Linked DNA regions of Ovis aries. The protein of the gene in region 2 interacts with the protein of the main gene of each other region in a biochemical or structural test. Links are inferred from orthologs where the notes say so. Each region holds a gene or a part of one and is shown on either strand. Other genes may lie near its edges.

Region 1 (6,951 bases), on a different chromosome or scaffold from region 2:
ACACAGTAGCTGACATTCGACTGTTTTAACTTATGAAAACTCAGCCATCTCATGTGGTTTGAATTCGGGCGCCTTTGCTGTGCAACAGTAGCCAGTGTCTTGGTCCGTATCCCTACAGGCAGTGCTTCTGAGTGAGGCCGACCCTGAGCCTGGACCCGGACAGCAGAGCCTCAGCGTGGGGCTCCCTGTCAGTCCACTGGGCTCCCTTTTGGATCGCAGCCTTGTCGTTCAGTCACTTAAATCGTGTCTTGACTCTTTCTGATCCCATGGACTACAGCATGCCAGGGTTCCGAACGTTCTTCACCCTCTCCTGGAGTTTGCTCAGATTCATGTCCATTTAGTCGGTGATGCTGTCTAACCATCTTATTCTCTGTCTTGGCTCTATTTAAAGCCCATTCTTCGGAACAGCTGATCTCAGCTGGTCACTGTAACTGTATCTTGGCCAGCACAGCTGTTCTTTGGTGCTAAATTTGGGAGCATTTGTCAGTGAAAAAGCCTCTGAGAGTCAATTTCCAACTTGGCCAAGCACTCGTGGCCTTAAGCAAAGGTTTCTTGCCCCAGAACATAAAAAAGTTCCTGGAATCTTGAGACTGGTGGTTGGGGCCAGAGCACCTTATCCTCCCTGTGTTACGGTTCCCACTGGGCAGAGCTGGCCTGGTCTCCAAAGCCGTCACCACCATCTCTTTCCAGCCCTGGAGCTGCTGAAGAATGCCATCGGCAAGGCTGGCTACAGCGACAAGGTCGTCATTGGCATGGACGTAGCTGCCTCTGAGTTCTACAGGTCGGGCAAGTATGACCTGGACTTCAAGTCGCCCGATGACCCCAACAGGTACATCACACCTGACGAGCTGGCCGACCTGTACAAGTCCTTCATCAGGGACTACCCAGGTGAGTGTTCCCAGGGTGGCTGCGGGTGTGAGCGGCGGGTAGCGCCCCTGCGTGGTGTGCATGCCTGTGTCACTCCCACAACAGCCTCCTGAATGAGCAGATGTGAGGCCAAGACTGCTGGGCACTCCTGCACGTGGGAGAGGGGACCCTGAGGCAGCGAGTGGGTTAGAACTTCTCAGGGGCGCTCAGCCAACAGCGGCACAGGTGTTCACACCAGGCAGTTCCTCTGAGTGCCTGTGTTTAACACTGAGCACCTTGGTGGAAATGGGACTGGAACGCACACCCCAGTATCGCCCCTCTGGGTCCACAGCCCTGTTCTTACTCAGTGGCACTAAACTGAGAACCCGCTGGGCAGTGGGTTTTCTGCCTCCACGACCATGGGGTTGCAGGATTGCAGTTACCGTGCTGCCTGTCACAGGAGGGCTGGGTAGGGCAGACTCCTTCCAGAACTTGCTTTAGGGACGGGCTGTCTGCAGGTGAGAAGGGTGAGGCCAGGTGAGCCTCAGTTCGGGGGAAGGGGGGCTCCAGCGGTGTTGCCAGTCAGCAGCCTGGGAGGCCACCCTGATGAAACACACTCTCCTCTCCTCAGTGGTGTCTATCGAGGACCCCTTCGACCAGGATGACTGGGAAGCTTGGCAGAAGTTCACTGCCAGCGCGGGGATCCAGGTGGTGGGGGACGACCTCACGGTGACCAACCCCAAGCGGATCGCCAAGGCCGTGAGCGAGAAATCCTGCAACTGCCTCCTGCTCAAAGTGAACCAGATCGGCTCCGTGACCGAGTCCCTGCAGGCGTGAGTGCCCTCCCTCCGGGGGCAGCTCTTGTGAAGAGAGGGGCCTGAATCTGATGGTGGGGAGGGGGCTCCTGATTGGAACTCCAGGTGGCGTTTAAAGTTAGCGATGGCCCCCAGGGGACAAGGACACTCGGCAGTTGTGGCCTGGTCCTGACCGCTGGATGGCCGTGCGCTCACAATTTCATCTCACACGGAGAAAGTCAGGGCGCACACACACACCTCTCTCTCGAGGGGGGGCTAAGCCCACTAGGTTTCCAAACGTGACTACAGGGCAGAGAACATCCTTGGGCCTTTGGGGGAGGTGGAAGGTTATCCTGGCCCCAGCAGTTGAGGGCTTGGGAGGGGCTGCGGTCCCTGAGCCGCGGAGCCGTGCCAGCCTGGTTTCTCTGGCTCCTAGGTGCAAGCTGGCCCAGTCCAACGGGTGGGGCGTCATGGTGTCACATCGCTCCGGGGAGACTGAGGACACCTTCATTGCTGACCTGGTCGTGGGGCTGTGCACGGGGCAGGTAAGGAGCTCCCTGACACGAAGGACAGGCCTTGCTTCTCTCCGGAACACAGATCTGGGGTGGGGTGGAGAGAATGGAGTCCCCCCTTTCTAGGTCAGAGAGCCTCCTTAAGGCCTTGCTATCTCTCTGCCTGGCACCCTCCCCTTGCCCAAAGTGTCCGAGAGGCTTCATTGTCCACTGTAAGCAGCTGTGGCCTTTGTTTTCTCCTTCCAGATCAAGACTGGTGCCCCGTGCCGATCTGAGCGCTTGGCCAAGTACAACCAGATCCTCAGGTAAGAGGCTGCCCGCGCTGAGTATGGGCTTGGTCCCCAGAAGGAGCCCCAGGCTGTGCTCGGCGGTACGAGGTGGGGCAGGCGCCCTGGCCCCAGCGGTGTTAGGTTGGGGCCAGTCAGGCACCCGACAGCCCTGCCCTGGAGCGGGCCTGCTCCGCACCACACTGCCGGGTGGCTCCTGGCGGGAGAGGGAACCACTCCCCTCTGGACAGTCACATCCTAGAATTTGAGGGGGCTACAAGGAGGCCTTAGTGATTCTCTCACTTCACAGCCTTGTTTTGTGAACAGGATAACAGAGCTCAGAGAGAGAAAGAAAAATTGCCAAAGGGCGAACAGCGGGGTTTCCAGTGTTCAGCTCCTTCGGACACTCTCGTCTCTCCCCTTCTTGTCCTTGGGAAGCTTTGCCTCTAAACACAGGGAGACCTGCCCTTCTGTTCTTTTCTTTCATTCTTGAAGGGAAAAGGAACATCTGTTTCATAAGGCCTCCCACATTACCCCATCTTTAAAACTTTATCCTGGAAAATGCCAAACATATAAAATATAAGTGAAGAGTAGACTGTACTCCCTCCCCATCACAGGCATGCACCCGCTGTCCGTATTCCTCCGTGTTTTGTCGACATACCCTTTTCTGACGAATCTTAAAGCAACCCCAGGCGTTTTATGGTTTCACTTGGCACATTTCAGGTAAAGTCTCCCTTTGGTTTAGCGTGGCCGCTCTACTCTGGCGGTTCCCACGGTTAGTGCTGACCTCTCAGTGTCAACATCAGGTCTGTCTGCTAGTCTGTCTCCTCTCTCGTCGCAAAGTGGCTGTTGCTTTTGACATCAGGATCCAAACAAAGTTCACACTGATGAGTGCCCCTGCCTTTTTGCCCTGTACCACTTATTAGTTCAAGAAACTGGGTTATCCTTTCTTTAAAAAAAATTTTTTTTTCTCTTTTTTAAGTATTCTAAGAAGTCACAGTCCTACCATTTCTTTATATTAGGAAGGCAGGGCAGGAAGAACAGGTGCATGAGGCGAGCCCAGATGTTCTATTCCTGGCATCTCCAAGAAGCTCAAGTTTAGGGATTAGTCGGGCAGACTGAGCGAGGGTTGAGTCCCCAAGTTCCTAGCAAGAAGTGTGTCCTTGACCACCTCTCTGGGTGGGAAGATTTGCTGCATTGACGTTTGATGTCTTTCTTTGTCTCCCTATCTCTCTTTCTGTTTCCTAAGAATTGAAGAGGAACTGGGCAGCAAGGCCAAGTTTGCCGGCAGGAGCTTCAGAAACCCGCTGGCCAAGTAAGCTGTAGGCGGGCGAGCCCCTGCAGTCACTCGTTGGCTCCTTAGACCTGCGTCTGATGTCGCCGGGCAGTGTGAGGCCCCCACTGATGCCCACAGGGGCCTCTGGTAGTTAGCTGCTCTCTCCTCGTCCTGTGACGTCCCCACTGCTTCCTTAGACCTACTGCAGAGCCACGCCTGACCATCTGGAGCCCTGCTGGAAACCCTAGCTCTGTAATCACATACTTGGCCCAAATCATTGTTCTTCTCACCTCGCTTCCACCAAGTATCCAGAGCCACGTGTATCTAGGTTGTCATCTCTGAGGTGTCCAGTGGGTTCGTGTGCAAAATAAAAACACCTGAGTGACCCGTATATATATGCCCTGTGTATATGAAGTAGTGTCTGAGTCTGTTCTCACATCTTGGGTATTCAGGAAGCACCTCTACAAGAACCAGAGGCTTTGTGTCTGATAGAAGGAACAGGAGTTTGTGGAGGACATTGTATAAGACTTTGGGGAGAGCATGTTGGGGAAAAGGTGAGAGAGGGGTCAACCCATGCCCTACAGCAGAAGCTGGGTCGGTGCCAGGAGGCAGGGCCCCACTTCAGGACCAAACTTGTTCGGGAGAGAAAAATGCAGAGCTCTCACAGGGTACCTCAAGGGCAGCTAAATAAGTTAAGATTTGATTCATTCCTTATTTTCATCTGCCTGATCTCAAGTGTTCAGAGGCTTCATGTTGCTGATACCCACTGCCTTGAGTACTGTCTGGAGTAATGGATGAGCACCAGTAAGAGGTGAAAATACTGTGGCTTCTCTGTCCTCTGCCCCTTGATTTCTGGTGTTCTACTAATGTTTTATTTACTTCCCCTGACTTGATACAAATCCCTTGAATTGTGTTTTAAAACCCGCTGAGAGCCTCTTGCGTTGCAAGGAGAGCCAACCAGTCCATCCTAAAGGAAATCAGTCCTGAATATTCATTGGAAGGACTGATCCTGAAGCTGAAACTCCAATACTTTGGCCACCTGATACAAAGAACTGACTCATTGAAGACCCTGATGCTGGGGAAAATTGAAGGCTGGAGGAGAAGGGGATCATCGGAGTAAACTGGGAGTTGGTGATGGACAGGGAGGCCTGGCATGCTGCAGTCCATGGGGTGGCAGAGTTGAACGACCAAGTGACTGAACTGAACCCAGAGAGGCCCCCTTGTGGACATTCTTGTTCATTGCCCATCTCTCTAACCCAAGAAGCAGGACTAGAAGACAGTGTTAGTCACTCAGTCGTGTCTGACTCTGTGACCCCTGGACTGTAGCCTCAATATTGAGATTGATTGCAAGGAATTGGCTCCTATGATTGAGGGGCATACTGAGAGAGTCCATAGTCTGGCCAATCAGAAGGGAGTGTGATCGGGAAAACACGTGTTCAGGTGAAACTCCTCTCTAGTGTAATCCCTGCTTTAAGAACTTTCACCTGATTCAGGCCCACCCAGATCATCCAAGAAAATTCCTTGTTCAGCGTCAACAGTGGTTTGAATTACATCTGCAGAATAGCTTCACAGTAATACCTAGATTAATATTTGAATAGCAGGACTCCTATCTTATGTGAACTTGGCAACCACACACAAATGTCTGAAGCCATCCTTCATCTCCAGATAACAAGACCCTACTTCACCTAATGTGGTTCAGCCCTCCTGTGTACAGCCAAAACTGCTAACCTATCCCAGCTTTGTATGACTGGTTCCCATCTGAAAACTGATTCTACAAGGAAGTGATTGAACTGGGCCTGACAGTCTGACTGGACTTTGTTCATCCAAACAGATTGCTAAATTTGGTTGCATGTCAACATTTCCTATGCTTAGTCGCTCAGTTGTGCCTGACTCTGTCTTTAAGTTGAAGCCTGCCAGGCTCCTCTGTCCATGGAATTTCCCAGGCAAGAATACAGAAGTGGGTTGCCATTTCCTCCTCCAGGGGCTCTTCCTGACCCACCAATCGAACCTGAATCGCCTGTGTCTCCTGCATTTCAGGAGCCATCAGGAAAGCCCGCTATTTCCTGATCAGCAATTAAAGGTATTTGTCACTCAGGTTAAAGAATAGATAGGAGCCCTTTCAGATCTGTTCCACCCAGAAGGAAGGCTGCTGGGGTCTCACTGGCCCTGGGAATGCTGAGCCCCTGGGGACGGTTGACAGCTTTTCACCCAGCAGAAACAGCACGTTGCTGACACTGAAGCAATAGAAACCATTAGCCTTTTCCTGGGCATTCTGACTGAAGCAGGACGAGCAGCGCTGATTGAAAGTTTCCAAGTGTTTTTGAAGTAAACATCTCTGGTAGCTCTTGTTAGTAGTCTCTGGACTTGTGTTATGTGTTTTCTTTTTTAAAGTTAACCTCATAATACAAACATTGGTTTTTCACCTGTGATTGTCTTCCAGCTTCGGATTCCTGTGACAAAACTCAACTGAAAATTTGAAGCAGTGTAGTTTGCAAACTTTAGTTGGCCATACCTTAGAGTCTCCCTGGGTTTTCCTGGTAGCTCAGCTGGTAAAGAATCTGCCTGCAATGCAGGAGACCCCAGTTCAATTCCCTGGTGTCTTCCTGGTGGCTTCCATGGTGCACTCAACTGAGTGTAATGTGAGAGACCCAGGTTCGATCCCTGGGTTGGGAAGATCCCCTGGAGAAGGGAAAGGCTACGCACTCCAGTACTCTGGCCTGGAGAATTCCATGGACTATAACCCTAACCCTAACCTCTTCCAACAACATAAGAGAAGACTCTACACATGGACATCACCAGATGGTCAATACGGAAATCAGGTTGATTATATTCTTTGCAGCCAAAGATAGAGAAGCTCTATACAGTCAGCAAAAAAAGACCAGGAGCTGACTGTGGCTCAGATCATGAACTCAACAGACATGAGTTTGAGTAGACTCCGGGAGTTGGTAATGGACAGGGAGGCCTGGCGTGCTGCAGTCCATGGGGTCACAAAAAGTCGGACACAACTGAATGACTGAACTGAACTGAATTGATGCAGCAAAAAGTCAGACACGACTGAGCAACTTTTCACTCACTAGAGTCTCCTCATAAGTTTTTAAAGTTTTGGCCATACCCTGCATCATGTGGGAATCTTAGTTTGCAGACCAAGGATCGAGCCCGCACCCCCTGCACCGGAAGGCAGAATCTTAACCACTGGGAGGGAAATACCCCCTCTGCCTCCCAGGCCAAGTAAATCAGAACCTCAGAGTGGAAACCAG
Region 2 (8,210 bases):
TCTCAGCAGGAAGGGCTGCGCACGCATACACTAGATGACTTTCGCCATCCATTTCTCATTTCTACTTGCCCACCAATGCTTCCGTTCACTAACTAGACTTAGATGTATATGACCCACAGCTCCTAGAGATGTTACAGCTATTGTATTAAATTAAACTTTTAAGTAGTAGATCAATCTCTGTCCTAACACCCAGACATCACCATCAGTCTGTTGTTCCTAGAAACATATAATTATTAGGTGTTTAGGTGTGTGATTTGTACATTTTATTAAAGAGGGTGATTGTACATGCAGTTGTTAAAATGATTGCTTTCTTTCCTAGATTAGCAAGTCAGCCCCACTATATCAATATATACACACCAGTGGATAGACATATGCATGTCCAGATAGAGGTCTATAACCCAATAGTTTTTATGTGACCCATATGTACATTTTTTGTTATTCTTTAGGATAATGACAAGACTCCAAAATACTACATGGCTTGACTTCCACTATTGCCCTATGCTCATTCATTTAAAAATATGTGTGTATAATTGTTTAGCACCAAAAAAGGCAGTTTCTTGAAAATGGCACTAAGAAATATCTGTCTATTGATCCTGGGCACTAAAAAGCAAATGAAAAAACATTAACAACACTTGCCAAGCTTGTTGATTAGGGGAGGGGGTCACTTTCATTGGTGTGGATTCTAATGAAATACTTAGGAGAAATGAAGCAAAATATCTCCCTGAGATTAAAGGACGTGCTCAAAATACCCGCATGTGGTAAGGATCTCTCAAATGCCTAAATATATTTCATTACAGCCAGACGTCAGCTGGATCCCCAGGGCTTGGATCGTTTGAAAATATTGTGTTGGAAAGGGCACCTTAATAACATCATAAAGCTGGAAGGAGAGAAGGGATGTGAGGAGCAATAGACACTTTTTAATCTCAAAAAAAAAAAAATCCATCTCGAGACAGATTTGTTTTTATATTGGCTTCTCCCCTTGCCTCTTTCTCTCCCTCACACAATCAAATGCCTTTGAAATATTGACACATAAATAATTTCCTGCCTAAATGTCTGAGAACCTGATTCTGTCAAAAAGAAAGGAATAAAAAGGAACTTGCAGCTGGTTCCCGGAGCAAAGGCGGCAGCACTGCATTCTGTGTCCCTGGAGCAGAGGGGCCTCCGTTGGGGCGTGGCCAGCTCAGGCCAGGCTCTCTGCAGCTTTCGTCACTGCCTGAGTCCCTGTCCATTGTCAGCGTTCTCACCTGACCAATGTTTAGCTTGGCATTTAGACAGTTTCCCCTTAGCACTGCTGCAGTCTAAAAGACTTTAAAGAGAGAGAGAAGAAAAGGGGAAAATCCTCCAAATAACCTATAAGTGATAATGACTTTTTTCCTTCCTCTTTTTCATAGGAAATAGAGTTCTCTCACATCCTTGAGTTTCTGCAAATTTTAGTTCCCATTCTTTCTCCTTTCAAGCCAGACTCCTAAATTATACATCGGAGACTGTTATAAAGATTTTTTTTTTAATGGAAGATTTCAAAGAAGCAAGAGTAGCTGACTGGCAGAATAGAGTCAGTTCAAATTGTCAGAGAAATCACTAGAGAAATAGGACCTCTTTTTTCCCTCGCCAGGTGTAATCTCCAGCCTTACTAGTTTATAATAGTCTGACATTCTGTATGAGAACCCTGTACCGAAGCTACAATTTTAAGTATATTCATAGCAAAGAGAGTCCCCACGCCCTTGATATGAGACAGCAGCAAAAGACAGTTGTGCTGACGTTCTGTGGTTCAAATGTACCTTTTGAAATCAGTCGAGGTTATCTGCAGAGTTTCAGAAGACATGTTATTAGCACGCTGGGCTGAAAACATTTTTCTTATTTCGTAAGCGCAGACACCAAAGCAGCCTGAACCTGTATCTGTGTATAGACTATACTAGACCTGGGTGTACGCAGTCATCGAAATCCAAAACGTCTTCTGTTCTGCCTCCAGCGAGCACATTTCAGTGTGTGGTGTCTAATCTTCCAACACGTGTGTAGTTCTCTGCTGACACAGCACTGTTCTGAGTAACACTGTGCGCTGGCTGGGTTTGTGCCCCTGTAAGTGTTGTTTCACGTGTTTGCTTTTCTCTTCCTCTCCCGCCGCTGTCCTCGCTCCATCAGAGAGAGCCGCAGGCCTCTGTTGCCGCCTAGTAGTTCCCTGTCACAAAGGGATGCCACGGCTTACCGATCTGTCTGTCAAAACCAAAGATGTCTGGGAAATCCCTCGAGAATCCCTGCAGTTGATCAAGAGACTGGGAAATGGGCAGTTTGGGGAAGTATGGATGGGTATGCCAAGCCTCAATTACTCTATTACTAGCTTTCTCGTTTGGGGAAGTCCCAAACATCAAAGATGGAAGGTGAAAATAAAGACTTTTTGGCCAGGAAGAGAGTATGAATTACGAATAATTTGGATTTTGATTTCAGAATTCTGGTTAAGATTGGCAGATGGCTCAAATGATACTACTATATGAGCCTCAATTCATACACCAGGAAATGGTACAAGGAATATTCTAGCTTGCACCAAATGCCTTCATTTCCAACTGCAAATGCTGGCAGAATGAACAGTGTCGCCCTAAAGGGCCCGTCACCTCCCATCTTTTCTAGTGCATGCATGATTATGGATTATAAGGACTGTGTTTTCTTTATTAATTCCCTTTCCTGTAGAGAAAGCTGATGGTTTGTGTTTTAACTTAACTGTGATTGCATCGAGTTGTACCCCACAAACTTCTGGATTGTCTAAAGATGCTTGGGAAGTTGCACGTGATTCCCTGAATCTGGAGAAGAAGCTGGGTCAGGGGTGTTTCGCTGAAGTGTGGCTTGGTAAGGCAGAGGGCACATTTCGTTTTGGCTGCATCTCAAAGCCAGCTAAAAGGCGATTTTAAGCAAACACACACACACAGCTGGTGGGACCAAGATGCTTGACCTGGATGGCTAGATGGCTACAGGCCATTCAGGTTATTCCCTTCCATCCTGCTTCATGTGGTTAATTAAGGCACACAGAACAGAAAACCAGTACAGTAAGAATGATGTTTCCTCTTCCTAAGACGTGGGAAGGTAAGATTCTACAGATGGGCTAATGTAGGAAAAGACCATGGGCTTTTTTCCTCAGTAGCCTGGATTTGAATCTTTTCCAGCTGATTAACCATGGGCATGGGGCTTGTTTCATCTCTTTGAACCTCAGTTACCTCATCTGTAAAACTGAAATAATACCTACTTCATAGGATTACCTTGAGGGTGATATGGCATAGTATATCTCCACGGCAAACAGCAGGTACTCAGTAGACACGAGTTCTTGTCTCTTAATTTGGTTCTCTTTGGCCAGGCCAACTTCTCTGGCCTTCCCTACTGCTTTAAAACACCCAGAAACATCTGTCAATAAGGCCATGCTGCTGCTTATGGAATCCCGCTTCTTACTTTCCTAGATGCAATTGAAAGCAACATTACTTAAAAGCAAAAGCATAGGTTGGTACCTATGTGATTTGTGTGGGTGTAGGTACTTAGGTGTGATCTGCATTAAAAGGTTCAATGCAGTTAAAGCACTTAGAATGGGACTTGACAACTAGTAAGTACTACATATAGGGAGAGGGAGAGAGAGACACCCTCCCTCAGATATACACGTGGATGAGTATGTATATGCCATTATAGTAAGTATTATCATTATTAATAGAATCGCTTTCCGAGTCGACTTATCGTGTCTGTCTCTATCTGGACTCTAACTCTCGTGTTGTATTTATATGGCCTTACACTCCCTTATCCACCCAATTTATAATTAGATTTGTGAGTCCTAAGGATTTCAATACAGTCATTCACGAAATCAGGAAAAATTAAACTCTGTACAAAAATTTATTTTCAAACATTATAGTTACCAGTTTTAAATCATCACACATGCTGTTATGTTTTCCCCTGGATGTGAAACATCATGTTGACGTAGTTCAGGATCAGGATGGAAGGTTATCTAGGTAACCAGGTGATATTAGACAGGATGATCTCACTGTTAAAATTTCAGGGATGCTAAAACACTCACACAGACCACTTGCTAGTTGTCAGATTTCCCATTTATGTTTAGTGGTCAGTTTTCTATAAGATTTCAATGAACTCTTTTTTAAGGCACTTATCCTTTGATAATTTACATTTTTATGGGTTGCATGTTGTGAGTATATGAACCATGTTTTTAACAGGGTGACAAGACTTGTTCCAATTTATAGAATCTTTTAGTTCTAGGATTAATTATATTAAGTGTAAAGTTAATTTAAACCAGCCTTCTTTTCCAAATAGAAAATGATATAATCTAACTTAGTAGATTTTTCAGTTTACCTTATAGTTTTAATTCAAAGTCATAGGACTAATAATGGATACACATAGGATTGAGTGGGTTTTTTTAAATTTTGGTGCTAAAAGAGACTGGGAAGATAATCCAGTTCCATTTCTATATTTTACAGATGAGGTAAATGATGAGGATCATAAACCAGGCTCGCCTCTGAAACTCCTAGATTATTTTACACATGTGAAGTTTTAAATATTTCTTTTCCCTCTTAGCTGCTGTTTAATTTTTCCAGTCTAATAGAAATCATTGTTCCTGTGGCTGACCATCAGTAAGCTTGAGGAATTTTCTTTTCGTGATTGAAGTATTGGCAAGTAGACCAAAAGCTTCTTGCCAGTACTTCTCAGCACGTTTAGCTCAGCTTCTCAAGGACTCAGTCAAGTAGCTCATCCCTGGCTGACAACTGAAAGTCTAGAGGTAATTTCCAAACTTCCTTAGTGTGGTGTCATATATTTTTAAATGGCACACCCCAGAAAATAGGACTTAATGTCCTTTCTTCCATGCTCATCCTCCTGTCTAAGGGACGGCTATTGGATGGCCGCTGAAGGCCAGTCCTGTTCTAACCCCTAGACGTTCATCCTTATAAAGAAGTATCCAGAAAGTACCAGTGATCTAATGTACTACATGCTAAGTAAATATAATTAACATCCTGTATATTATCTATGAAGATTGTTTAGGGGATAAATCCCAAGAATTCTCATCACAAGAAAAAAATTTATTTGTATTTAAGTTTGTATCTATCTGAGATGATGGATTTCACTAAACTTAACTGTAATAGTCACTCCATGATGTATGTAAATTAAATCATTATGCTTTACAACTTAAACTGATACAGTGGCATATATCAATCATATCTCAAAAACTACTAGAAGGAAAAAAATGAAGTATCCAGAGCTTTTGATACAAATTTGTGATCACGTGGCTGAACCAGAAAAGGAAAGTGATATATATCAAAATACGAAAAATTTTTAAAGACTTGTAAACCATGACATAGCCTATAAGTAAACACATTTTTTCCTGTTGAAAATACTTGACAGAGTCCTTGCATTTGATTGTCTTTGTTCAACAACAACAACTCTATTTAAAGTTTTCTTTAAACTTAAAATCTAACTTTATACAAATAACTACTCATTAAAAAGGTTTTTTTCCCATCCAAAGAGGATCTTTGGTTTGACTTACTATTATGGGGTGTCTGCAGGTACCTGGAATGGAAACACAAAAGTAGCCATAAAGACTCTTAAACCAGGCACAATGTCCCCTGAATCATTCCTTGAGGAGGCGCAGATCATGAAGAAGTTGAAGCATGACAAACTGGTCCAGCTATACGCCGTGGTGTCCGAAGAGCCCATCTACATCGTCACCGAGTACATGAATAAAGGTTGGACTGGGCCTCTCGGGCTCCCCCTCGCAGGGACCTGCAAGCTTGTCTCCGGGAGGGGAATGGAGCTCCCTGCCTGCTTTTTCCCTCCTTCCTCCATGAGTCAAGCATTCTTTGTCAGGAAGCACAAACTATGTACTCACTGGGGAAAACGTTGTACGAACAGACAGTGACCTTGAGTTTGACACCCAGATTCCTTTGCATGCTTTGCACATGTCAGGATTTCCAGCTCCTCTCCATAACTGAAGTAATTCATTTTTAGTATCGGAGTGATCAGTGCATACATGTGTCGTCGTGTCTGACTCTTTGCAACCCCATGGGCTTTTCCAGGCAAGAATACTGGAGTGGGTTGCCATTGATACAGAGGGCTATAAAAGTTTGCTGTTATCTGGAATGGCACAGCTTATGTTAAAAATTAATTTTTTTTTCAAACAAAGATATGAGGCTATACAGTTTTCAGGTATTCATCTCTCCTGCCTCATTCCCACCACCTTTGTCTGTCTTGAGTCCCCCACTCAAGATACCACAACCTTGACCGTGTTGGAAACCCTCATCAAGGGTGAGGTTTTTTTAATCACATCGGTTCAAAACTTGTTTTGCAGTAAAATTTTGTTTGAAAATGCCTTTTTGTGTACAAAAGCATAAAAGTAAGAAATTGTGTTATGAAAGGTTTTGTGGCATACACAGCTTAACCATCTTAATAATAAATTACTTTCTTACAAATTTTTTTTAAATTAGATATTTTTGCAAGGCTGAACAATTAACATCAGACACTGAGCTCTGGGTTAAGTTTAGCCTCCATCTTTTCAACACCTTTTTTTTTTCTTCGGCTCTCTTCTTAAACATCTGATGTAGAAAGACATACTTTTAAAGAGCACATTATATTCTCATTCTTTTTCTCTCTCTCTTTGTCTTTCTAATCAAAGCAATATTGTTGGGGATAAGACCACAGATCACTTTGTTTTGGAAAAATAGATGAACCAAACAAGAAACAGCCTTAAAAGGCAAAGCATTGTACATCAGATGACACCAGTACAATTTTTCCCTTTCCACGTACTTTCTATTAAAATATATTTGGAATTATTCCCTGGCAGATTGTTTGTCCTTTGTATTTGTTTATTTGGTAAATAACTTTGTGATTAAAGCATGAAAAAAAAATACCAGTGATCACATGAACCTCCAGCCTCTGCCCTTGATTGCTTCGGCCCCAGTGTTCATTCTGAGCTCCTCAGGCGGAGTCATCACACTGGCTCTGAAGCTCCAGCCTTTGGTTTCAGGTATCTTTCAAGGCCTGATTGGCCATGATCTAATGTGAGGAGCCACCTACCCCAACCCTGTATTCCTCAGATACCCTTTTCTTGATTTAAAAATCTGTCAATAAGCTGAGCCACTGATTGTACACTTTGCTATATGTCGGAATCACCTAATACAGGGGTCCCCAACCTTTGAGAGCTAATGTCTGATGATCTGAGGTGGAACTGATGTAATAATAATAGAAATAAAATACACAATAAATGGAATGTGCTTGAATCATCCCTAAAGCATCTGCCACCCCCAAGTCCGTGGAAAAATTGTCTTTAAAGAAGCTTGTCCCTGGTACCAAAAAGACTGGGAACCACTGATCTAATGGGCTTCTCAAAATAAAAGTTTCTGGGCCAAAACTCCCAAGCATCTGATTCTGTAGATGTGGGATGGGTTCTGAGAGTTTGTGTTTCCAACTGATTCCCCAGAGGTTGCCGTTCTTGCTGGTCCGGGACCACATATTGGGAACCACTCATCTGGGAGCTGTTTTCTCCACATCACTCTTGAGCGGGACTGTCGGGAGTGAGACTGAAGTGGTGCAGCCTTTAATCTCATTTAAGGCTGCTTCTTATGAAGTCCTGTTTCTTCTAGCTTCATCCCATTTTTGTTGTCCTTAGAACTGGAGTCACTACTGTTTACTTTTAAAAGGTAAAACTGCAGCCTCCAGTGCACAGGTTTTTTTCTGCCCAGTTTTCATGTGTGAACCTTGTTTTCACTGATAGCCTCATTTCCTCTGATTACCTCATTCCTTCTAATAAGAAAACCAAATACAGCCCTTCATTGGGAATTTTGACCTTTCAAAGGAAATCAAAATGACTTTATGTTTTCTTCACAGGAAGTTTACTCGATTTCTTAAAAGATGGAGAAGGAAGAGCTCTGAAATTACCAAACCTTGTGGATATGGCAGCACAGGTAGGCCCTCGATTCCTGCCTTAGGTTTACCAGCGAGTGAGTACCGTGGAGTCACGTGTAATGTGCATTTCCCCGGTCTACGCAGGTTGCCGCGGGAATGGCGTACATCGAGCGCATGAACTACATCCACAGAGACCTGCGGTCAGCAAACATTCTCGTGGGGAATGGACTAATTTGCAAGATCGCTGACTTCGGATTGGCCAGGTTGATCGAGGACAATGAGTACACGGCAAGACAAGGTGGGCGCTTGAATGAGGAAGGCTCGTGATCTTGCACATC
Region 3 (8,210 bases), on a different chromosome or scaffold from region 2:
TAAGAATTCCTATCTTTAGGAAATAAAAATATTATCTTCTATTTTCTTCTATGAACTTTATCCTTTATAGTTAGGTCTTTGATTGTTTGCAGTCCACTTCTGAGGAATTAGTAGAAACCTAGATTTTTTTTCTCATGTACAAAATCAGTTTTCCCACTATGATACTGTGAAATTCACCCTTTTCTCATTAATTTATAATACCACATTTACTATATTAACTATTGGTGTGTTTGTGTGTTTTCATACATAGGTGTGTTTGTGTGTACATAATGTTCCTGGGTTTGACCTCTGGGTCAGGAAGATTCCCTGGAGAAGGAAATGGCAACCCACTCCAGTATTCTTTGCCTGGGAAATCTCACAGACAGAGGAGACTGACAGGCTACAGTCCCTGGGGTTGCAAAAGAGTCAGACAAGACTTAGGAACTAAACAACAACAAATGTGTGTTCCTATTTGTGTGTATGTAAATTTTATCTGTCTCTGAGCTCTCTGTTCTATTCTACTGGTCTCTTCATTCACGTATCAGTTCCACATGGTTTTTATTGTTATTGTTTTAGATGATGTCTTAATACCTGAAAATTTGTTGATATTATTAAACACTTGAGCAGTAAAATATCTTTTAAAAAACTAATTAACTTGATTTTTTTGATACATGAAAGCAAATCCTTGGGAACAAATGAGTCAAAAAGTGTGAACCTGTGATTTTCTGGTAAAGCCTGTGTTCCACACAAGCCCCAAAAAAACAAATGTGGATGTTTTCAGCGTCCATTTGTAAAGAGACTACTAAAGAGTGTCTTCAGTTTTTTTCACTTTTGCATTATTTTATGAAAGCTAATGAAATGATTTTACAACAAGTTACAAGGTTTGGAAAAGCCATAGTAAGGATCTAAACCACATATTCTATTCTCTACTTCTAAACCTTTGGTAAAGTATAGATTCTGTTAACATGAACTGTTTTGAGTATTATGTTATGTTACATCTAACAATCCTCTATTAAAGCACTTCTTAATTATTATCCCTTTTTTTAAACACTTCAGGTACTGGAAATCTAGATGAGGTTAGTTTCTCTTTTTTTATTCTTCTCATATTATGTTGCTATAACTAGAATATGTAACAATTGCTGTGATTTATTTTCTACTGGCATAAACCAACAAATGAAAACTCTTAAGAATAATGGTAATATTTTTCCATTGCAATCTTATTTCACCCGAAATGCTTGAGACATTAAACCCCAGTCATTTCACTGACTCAGTAATTTTGTTATGATAAACAGAAACTGAAGCCTGGCTACGAATCTGAATTACATAGCAAGATATAAAATGAAATCTTTCTGTGCTTCCTCTCCCAGTCTGTCTCCAAAAAGGAAAAAAAAAAATTAAATATGCAAAATGTACACACAAATTTATGTTTGTTTTACTGAGTATTTGAGCAGTGTAGTATATATTTGTTCCCTTATTGAATAATTGCAGTAAATCACTATTAATGTTTTTCTTGACAGGAACAAGAGAGTGAAGGAGAAACATATGAAGACATGTATGAGCAACATTTCTTTTACCATGATATTTTTCTTCTTAGATGAATATAATAATTTGTATGAGGGAGAATGAATGGATATTCAATACTAGGAGGGGGAAAGTTCAACTGTTCAAGTGACGGGCATATAATGATAACCTTTATTTCAATACAAAGGACTAAAGATTCCTTTCTTGTCTAAGGATTTTACAGAGGACTCTGTTAAAATGCCATTGTGTGAGAGGTCAGAGTCCTGCAACCCACTAGACAGCCCACAGGCAAGGAATTACAGGGCCAGGAATCTGTATTTCTTGCTCTCAGGGTGTCTGGGCAAATGAATTTGTGTATATATTACAATGTCCTCACCTAGGCAGTACTCTGAGAGACAATTTAACACAGCACCGGATGCCAAAGTTTTAACCTGCTTAAGAAGAAAAATGTTAAAAAGAGTTCCCAAATGGGTTTCTGGGCAGGCCAGGATTAAGAAATTTCTTAGCAAATGAGTGAAAATAAAAATGAGCATTTTCTCTCATTTTAACTTTTGTTGATTCAAATATGTTAATCTTCCCCACCCAGAATTCAGCTAATTCTGAGTAAAGTTTCTAAATGAAGATTTGTACCTATGAGTACAAGTGAATATGTATATGTGAACTTGTACCAGTGAGCGTACTCTTGTGAGAGAGATTGGGTGGGATGGGGGGGGGGAGGTGCTTAATTGTATTCATGCTGACAGGCTGCAGGAACCTTTAAAACAATGCCTTCCACTTGCCCTCAGGGGTTGTAAAAGTAGCAGGACCTTTGGAAGGCATCCTCCTTTGAATGCCTCCTGCAGGTTTTAGGAACAGTCTCACACACCCAGGAATTTTGACAGGACTTAGCTTTGTACCTTAACCTCTATTCCACATACTATCTTCTGTTTGGGGTAGGAACCTCTAAATAGTGAGCCCTAACACATAAATGCCTGCAGGTGCTGAAACAACCAAATTTTTATCCACAGAGACACATCCAAAGAAAAAGAGAAGAAAAGAGAAAAGGAGGAAAAGAAGAGATTAGAGCTGGAGAAAAAAGAACAGAAAGAGAGAGAAAAGAAAGAACAAGAAATAAAGAAGAAATTTAAAGTAAGAGCTTGCTTGCTGATGGGTGAAAAACAGTAACCTCTCTTTTTATAACTTTCACACAAAAGGGGCACCATTTTTTGAAACCTTATATGGTTGGACAACTACTTAATCACTGTTTTCTAAAGAGTAACTTCCTTCATAACAGTAATGTTTTTTTTCTGCTACACTCCATTATCCCTGCACTAAAAATGCAATACAATAAAATCCAAATAAAATATGTGGCTTATAATCTGGATAAAATCTAAACAAAATATGGTGGGAGCTCAAGAAATTTTATGTCAGTTGGGTGAATGAATACTCAGTTACTCAAATCCATTCTGACTCTCCTTGTTATGTGTTTCATCGTACCTGGAAAATTTCATGGACAGAGGACCCTGGTGGGCTACAGTCCGAGGGGTCACGAAGAGTCGGACAAGACTGAGCATTTCATACTAACCTACTTCCTTGGTGGCTCAGACGGTAAAGTGTCTGCCTGCAATGCGGGAGACCTGGGTTCGATCCCTGGGTCGGGAAGATCCCATGGAGAAGGAAATGGCGAGCCACTCCAGTACTCTTGCCTGGAAAATTCCATGAACTGAGGAGCCTGATAGGCTACAGTCCATGGGCTCGCAAAAAGTCGGACACGACTGAGCAACTAAGAGATTAAAGAATATGGGCTCAGGACTACACACATACATATCCCTGTGGCACGTATTATCATGGTGCATGGGACAGAACTGTCTGGATTAAGCAGACTCATGTCAATAAAACTCCGTGAGCCACCCTGACTGATGCTGTCTAGACCTGACTCACATCTATGCCTTTACTTTATGCCTATGTACATGCTGATTTCTCATACCTTCTGTTTCTCCTTCTTCCTCATTGACCTCTGTATTCTCTGATCTTTCATTCTAGCTGGATGACTCCTATCACCAGTTATCACCTCCTATCACTACTACCACCACCACCACTATACTTGCAGGCTATACTCTCTTGGCTAGGCTTTGACGACACGGCCCATCTGGTATGGGTCTGGTATGTCAGCTATATTTAGAGTGATTAGCTAGTCACAAAACTATTCTTCACTTTGAAAAGGATTCATATCAAGATTCCTTTAAATATTTAGTTCCTCCAGAGCATTAATATATGGTTTGAGTTATAAAAGCCTGGCTTATATATAATTTCCCAGTATATTGACTATAGTGAAACAAAGAAGCAACAGCAGGCACAGGGAAAATGTAAAACTTAGAGTCAGTTGGACAGATGTGGATTCAAATTCCAGCTGCATTTGTGAGTTATATAATAGTGGACATATTGCTAAACTTCTCTGAACCTCAGATTCTTATTTTTAAAGTGAGTAGACAATATTTCTCCTGAAAGTTTGTTATGGGATTAAATAAAATGATATGTGGTATCTATTATAGGCTCTCATTCAATTTTGCTTACTATATATAAGCAAAAGTAAGATTGCAATATGACTATTAAAATATTTTACTCATGCAGAATGTATGGCTACCAATGTTCATAGTTTTCAAGTAGAAAACATGGAAAATTAATTTCTTAAATGAAAATCTTTATAACATACTTTTTATGAAGAGGTTGTTTATAGTTTTGAAGGAATTAGTAAAGCTTTTCTTTTTGGGTGTAGGTTTTTTTTTTTTTTTTGGAGAAGCCAATTTTGGATGGTTTCACTCATTTATTCAAATAATATTTGTTAGTAAGAAAAAGATAAGATATGAAATCACACCACCAAACATGAACTCAAACATTTATCAAGACTAGGACTTCACACGCTATATTCCTTTCACAAAATTGTTAATAGATGTTCAAATTAAATAAATAAATGTGAGAACTGTTATACAGTTCCACATTTCATTAATTCTATGACAAAATATTTCACATTTTAAAATTCCAAAATTAGGATGCATTGTAACATTATTGGCACATCAAAGTTTAAATCAAGCTAGTTTACTTTCTTGGTAGTATATAATTAATGATGGTATCTCACAATTCATCATATCACAAGTTCAATAAATAAAGTAGAGCTTCTTCAAAAATCATGATGTATATTTGCATATCAAAAGACTCAAGAAATTCTGTTGAAAAGACAAAAGATTAGGAAATTAGGACTTTAGGATTCGTGGGCTCTAAACTAGATTACTCCTCTGCTGTCAAGAAACCACTGTACTCTTCAGGATATTAATTATTAAAACATCATATAATATTGGTTTGCTATTTATTTTTATTCACAAAGCTATTTCTAAACTGTTATCTTGTTTATAACAGGTAATGTCTACTCCAAGTTTATAGATAGCAAGTACCTTGAAGTCGAAAAAAAGGAAAGAAAATGTTTTTCTCACAAGTACAGCCTACCACCACTACTAACCCTCTCTCTCTTGCTATTTTAAGCCTGCAGAGAACCATCAGAATAATTGCACAAAGCAGAGAGGGAAATAACCTCTGTCTAGTAAGCAGAACACCAGCATACCCCATAAAAACACATAGCACCCAGCATGTCACATATATAAGTGGTGTTTGATTTTTAGTCACTTCCTCTTCAAATCTTCTACAGAGTTCCCAACGTTAACAGATCACTGCCATTCTCTCCTGGCCCCTGAACACGTGCTTACCTATTTTTGCTGGCTCTGTCTGACCTCTGCAATTTTCCCCTAGCCCCTCCTATAAGAACCCTCACCAGAAATAACATTCACCCTCAACTTCTGGTTCAAACCTATAAATGTTGGTAATAAGCAGGTTAGCAAGTAGTGGACCTAGTCTTTCAAAACTGCATTCCTTAAGGATTTCCTGAAAGTAAGAAGCTGGTTGTGATTTTTTTTTCCCCCTCTTTGCAGCTAACAGGCCCTATTCAAGTCATCCATCAAGCAAAAGCTTGCTGTGATGTCAAAGGAGGAAAGAATGAACTGAGCTTCAAGCAAGGAGAGAATATTGAAATAATTCGCATCACAGACAACCCTGAAGGAAAATGGCTGGGCAGAACAGCCAGGGGGTCATGTAAGTGCATATTTTTCTAAGACTTCAAAGTGTTTTCTTTTGAGCCAATCTTAATGTGAAAATTCTTCCAAAGCTAGTCATAAGCATTAAGTTGGAAGTATGTTACAGAGTAGACAAAAATAGGAAGATTTTAAATGACAAGCATAGCTCCATCTTCACCTCATTTGTGTAATATTTTTAGTTGGGAAAAAATGCAAATATAATATCCCAAGGAGGAGTAAAGAGTATTAGATTCTTCATGGATGTTAAAAAGCAAAAATATTTCTTCTGAATCACTTTAGAACCTTGAAAACAGACTCCAGACTTACCCCAAAAGCACAACATCATGAGACTTTGACAAAGCACAGTGAAGCATGTGTCAACAAGTCTTTAAGTCAGAATTGCAAGCAAAGAAATAAAGGGAAAATGTAAAAAGAAAGTGTATCATTGATATTTTATTTACAACTCTATGATATTTAAACTACAGTTATCTGAACATAAATTGTTCCCCTTTTGGTAGATGGCTATATTAAAACAACAGCTGTAGAGATTGACTATGACTCCTTGAAACGGAAAAAAGGCTGTCTCAGCACTCTTCCATCAAGACCTTTTGAAGATGACCAGGAAGTGTATGATGACGTTGCAGAGCAAGAAAATGTTGGCAGGTATACGTAAAAATAAATCGGAAAGCAAATCAAACTATCTGTTTGTCAGAGATTGTGAGTTTTAAGATGCTAGAATTTTACTTTCCTAATTTCCTACTACTTTCTATCACTAAATTAAATTACCGTTTACAATCACTTCAATATGGATGATAACTCCTTTGAAACTCTATAGTCTTTCAGTTTACTCTTTGGCTATTTGTGTTAAATACTGCTTGAAATGTAATGGGCCATTGGCAGATATGGTGTCCATCCAAAATACTGTTTTGCAATATTCATTCTGATTTGACTTTAAGGATATGCCTAGAATACATATGACTTTGTAAATTATGAAGCATGAGATATAAAAGTTAGCTCTAAAAATATAAAATACTTTTCTCTGAAATCTGAGTCTAAATGTATTTGTCATTGTTATTTGAAAATATAACAAACAGAAATGCTTTTTTATGACAACTTTGCTCTTTAAGAGTAAAGATCAATCCGCTATGATCCCCAGCAATCAACTAAGGGTTCAACTTTCCATTGGACCTTGTGACCTTCCCTGGAAAAACTACAGGACCATCTTTCTGGAGCAGAGGGACAGATCAAGACATCCTTTCTAGAGGAATCAAAGGGGAGGGCAAACTTCTCTCTCGTACTTTCCTTCTCTTCCTTCTCATCTCCAGCTCCCTTTATAGCGCTTCCTCTTCTGTCCCTTTCTCCTAGCTCTGATCTTCCTTGTTCTTTCTTTTTCTTCCTTTTCTGTTCTCCTTTCATTCCTTCTTTCCTCCAATATCTCCCTTTCCTGGTAGAGCCATAATCTCTTTAAACTGAAGGAAAAGGAGAAGGAAAATCTCCAACCCAGTGAAGAATCCTCATTTTTCTATGCCCACTTTGTGAAACAGGGAAACCTCCCCACATGATCCATGCAAGATCTTCATGTGAGAAAAAAATGTGTCTGCATTCTTTATAACTCAAATTTCAAATTAAAAAATGTTTTTATTATTAAGCATTCTAAAAATGTAAAAAGATCAAAATAGAAGTATATTAATATTTATTAATACTAATAGTTATGAAACATATAAAGAATTAAATTTCCCTTTTATGGTTTTGAGCTTATGGCATCAGTTAAACCTATATTGCTTTCTGGCAGTTCATCATTCTAAAATGACTGATAGCAATGCTGTCTTAACATATTGTGATCATAAATTATGCAATACATATCAAAACATCCCATGTATGCACTGGAGTTTACAGATTGTAAATTGACCTTAGCGATAAGAAACACCTTGACCTACCTTGAAGTTAGCAAATGTCAAATTTGATATCAGAGTTCCAAATGGCCATATTCTGAGAGTTACAGAATTTTCTGGGCATGAGTGTGTCTTACCATGTATATTATCAGTATATATACCTTATGTTGGGCTTCCCCGGTGGCTCAGATGGCAGTCTGCCTGAGATCCCCTGGAGAAGGAAACGGCAACCCACTCCAGTATTCTTGCCTGGAAAATCCCATGGATGGAGGAGCCCAGCATGCTATATTCCATGGGGTTGCAAAGAGTTGGACACAACTGAACTACTTCACTATACCTTATGTTTGTCTTTTATCTTAAAAAAAAAACACACACACACACACAATTTCTCTTATTTTGGAATTAAAGAACTCCACTTCACTTTCACTTTTCACTTACATGCATTGGAGAAGGAAATGACAACGCACTCCAGTGTTCTTGCCTGGAGAATCCAAGGGATGGGGGAGCCTGGTGGGCTGCCATCTGTGGGGTCGCACAGAGTCAGACACGACTGAAGCAACTTAGCAGCAGCAGCAGCAGTGAGATATATATATATATATATTTTTTTTACACTGATGAAAATAAAAAATAAATAAATCCACAAAAAAGGGATGATATCCTTAAAATGAAGCATTATTTTCATAATAAGTGACTTTCCCAAATTAATGCCATTACCTTT

What was found. The genes of interacting proteins can lie anywhere in the genome.
Region 1: of the proteins of FYN (region 2) and ENO1, one has a biochemical effect on the other in vitro, tested with the Homo sapiens proteins (2 studies listed by BioGRID). The link is inferred for Ovis aries from reciprocal best matches to the Homo sapiens genes FYN and ENO1.
Region 3: the proteins of FYN (region 2) and FYB1 form a complex in vitro, tested with the Homo sapiens proteins (2 studies listed by BioGRID and IntAct). The link is inferred for Ovis aries from reciprocal best matches to the Homo sapiens genes FYN and FYB1.

The regions. Positions count from the first base shown.
Region 1 is NC_056065.1:43,932,296-43,939,246, forward strand, and holds the end of ENO1 (alpha-enolase), read left to right. Parts: intron 1-690; coding exon 691-888; intron 889-1,477; coding exon 1,478-1,679; intron 1,680-2,076; coding exon 2,077-2,185; intron 2,186-2,398; coding exon 2,399-2,457; intron 2,458-3,667; coding exon 3,668-3,737; 3' UTR 3,738-4,085; downstream 4,086-6,951. UniProt on the Homo sapiens protein: Glycolytic enzyme the catalyzes the conversion of 2-phosphoglycerate to phosphoenolpyruvate. In addition to glycolysis, involved in various processes such as growth control, hypoxia tolerance and allergic responses.
Region 2 is NC_056061.1:26,057,130-26,065,339, forward strand, and holds part of FYN (tyrosine-protein kinase Fyn), read left to right. Parts: intron 1-2,139; coding exon 2,140-2,304; intron 2,305-2,682; coding exon of another isoform or gene 2,683-2,838; intron 2,839-5,537; coding exon 5,538-5,717; intron 5,718-7,854; coding exon 7,855-7,931; intron 7,932-8,016; coding exon 8,017-8,170; intron 8,171-8,210. UniProt on the Homo sapiens protein: Non-receptor tyrosine-protein kinase that plays a role in many biological processes including regulation of cell growth and survival, cell adhesion, integrin-mediated signaling, cytoskeletal remodeling, cell motility, immune response and axon guidance.
Region 3 is NC_056069.1:35,475,609-35,483,818, forward strand, and holds part of FYB1 (FYN-binding protein 1), read left to right. Parts: intron 1-1,035; coding exon 1,036-1,055; intron 1,056-1,496; coding exon 1,497-1,531; intron 1,532-2,507; coding exon 2,508-2,628; intron 2,629-5,459; coding exon 5,460-5,619; intron 5,620-6,118; coding exon 6,119-6,263; intron 6,264-8,210. UniProt on the Homo sapiens protein: Acts as an adapter protein of the FYN and LCP2 signaling cascades in T-cells. May play a role in linking T-cell signaling to remodeling of the actin cytoskeleton. Modulates the expression of IL2. Involved in platelet activation.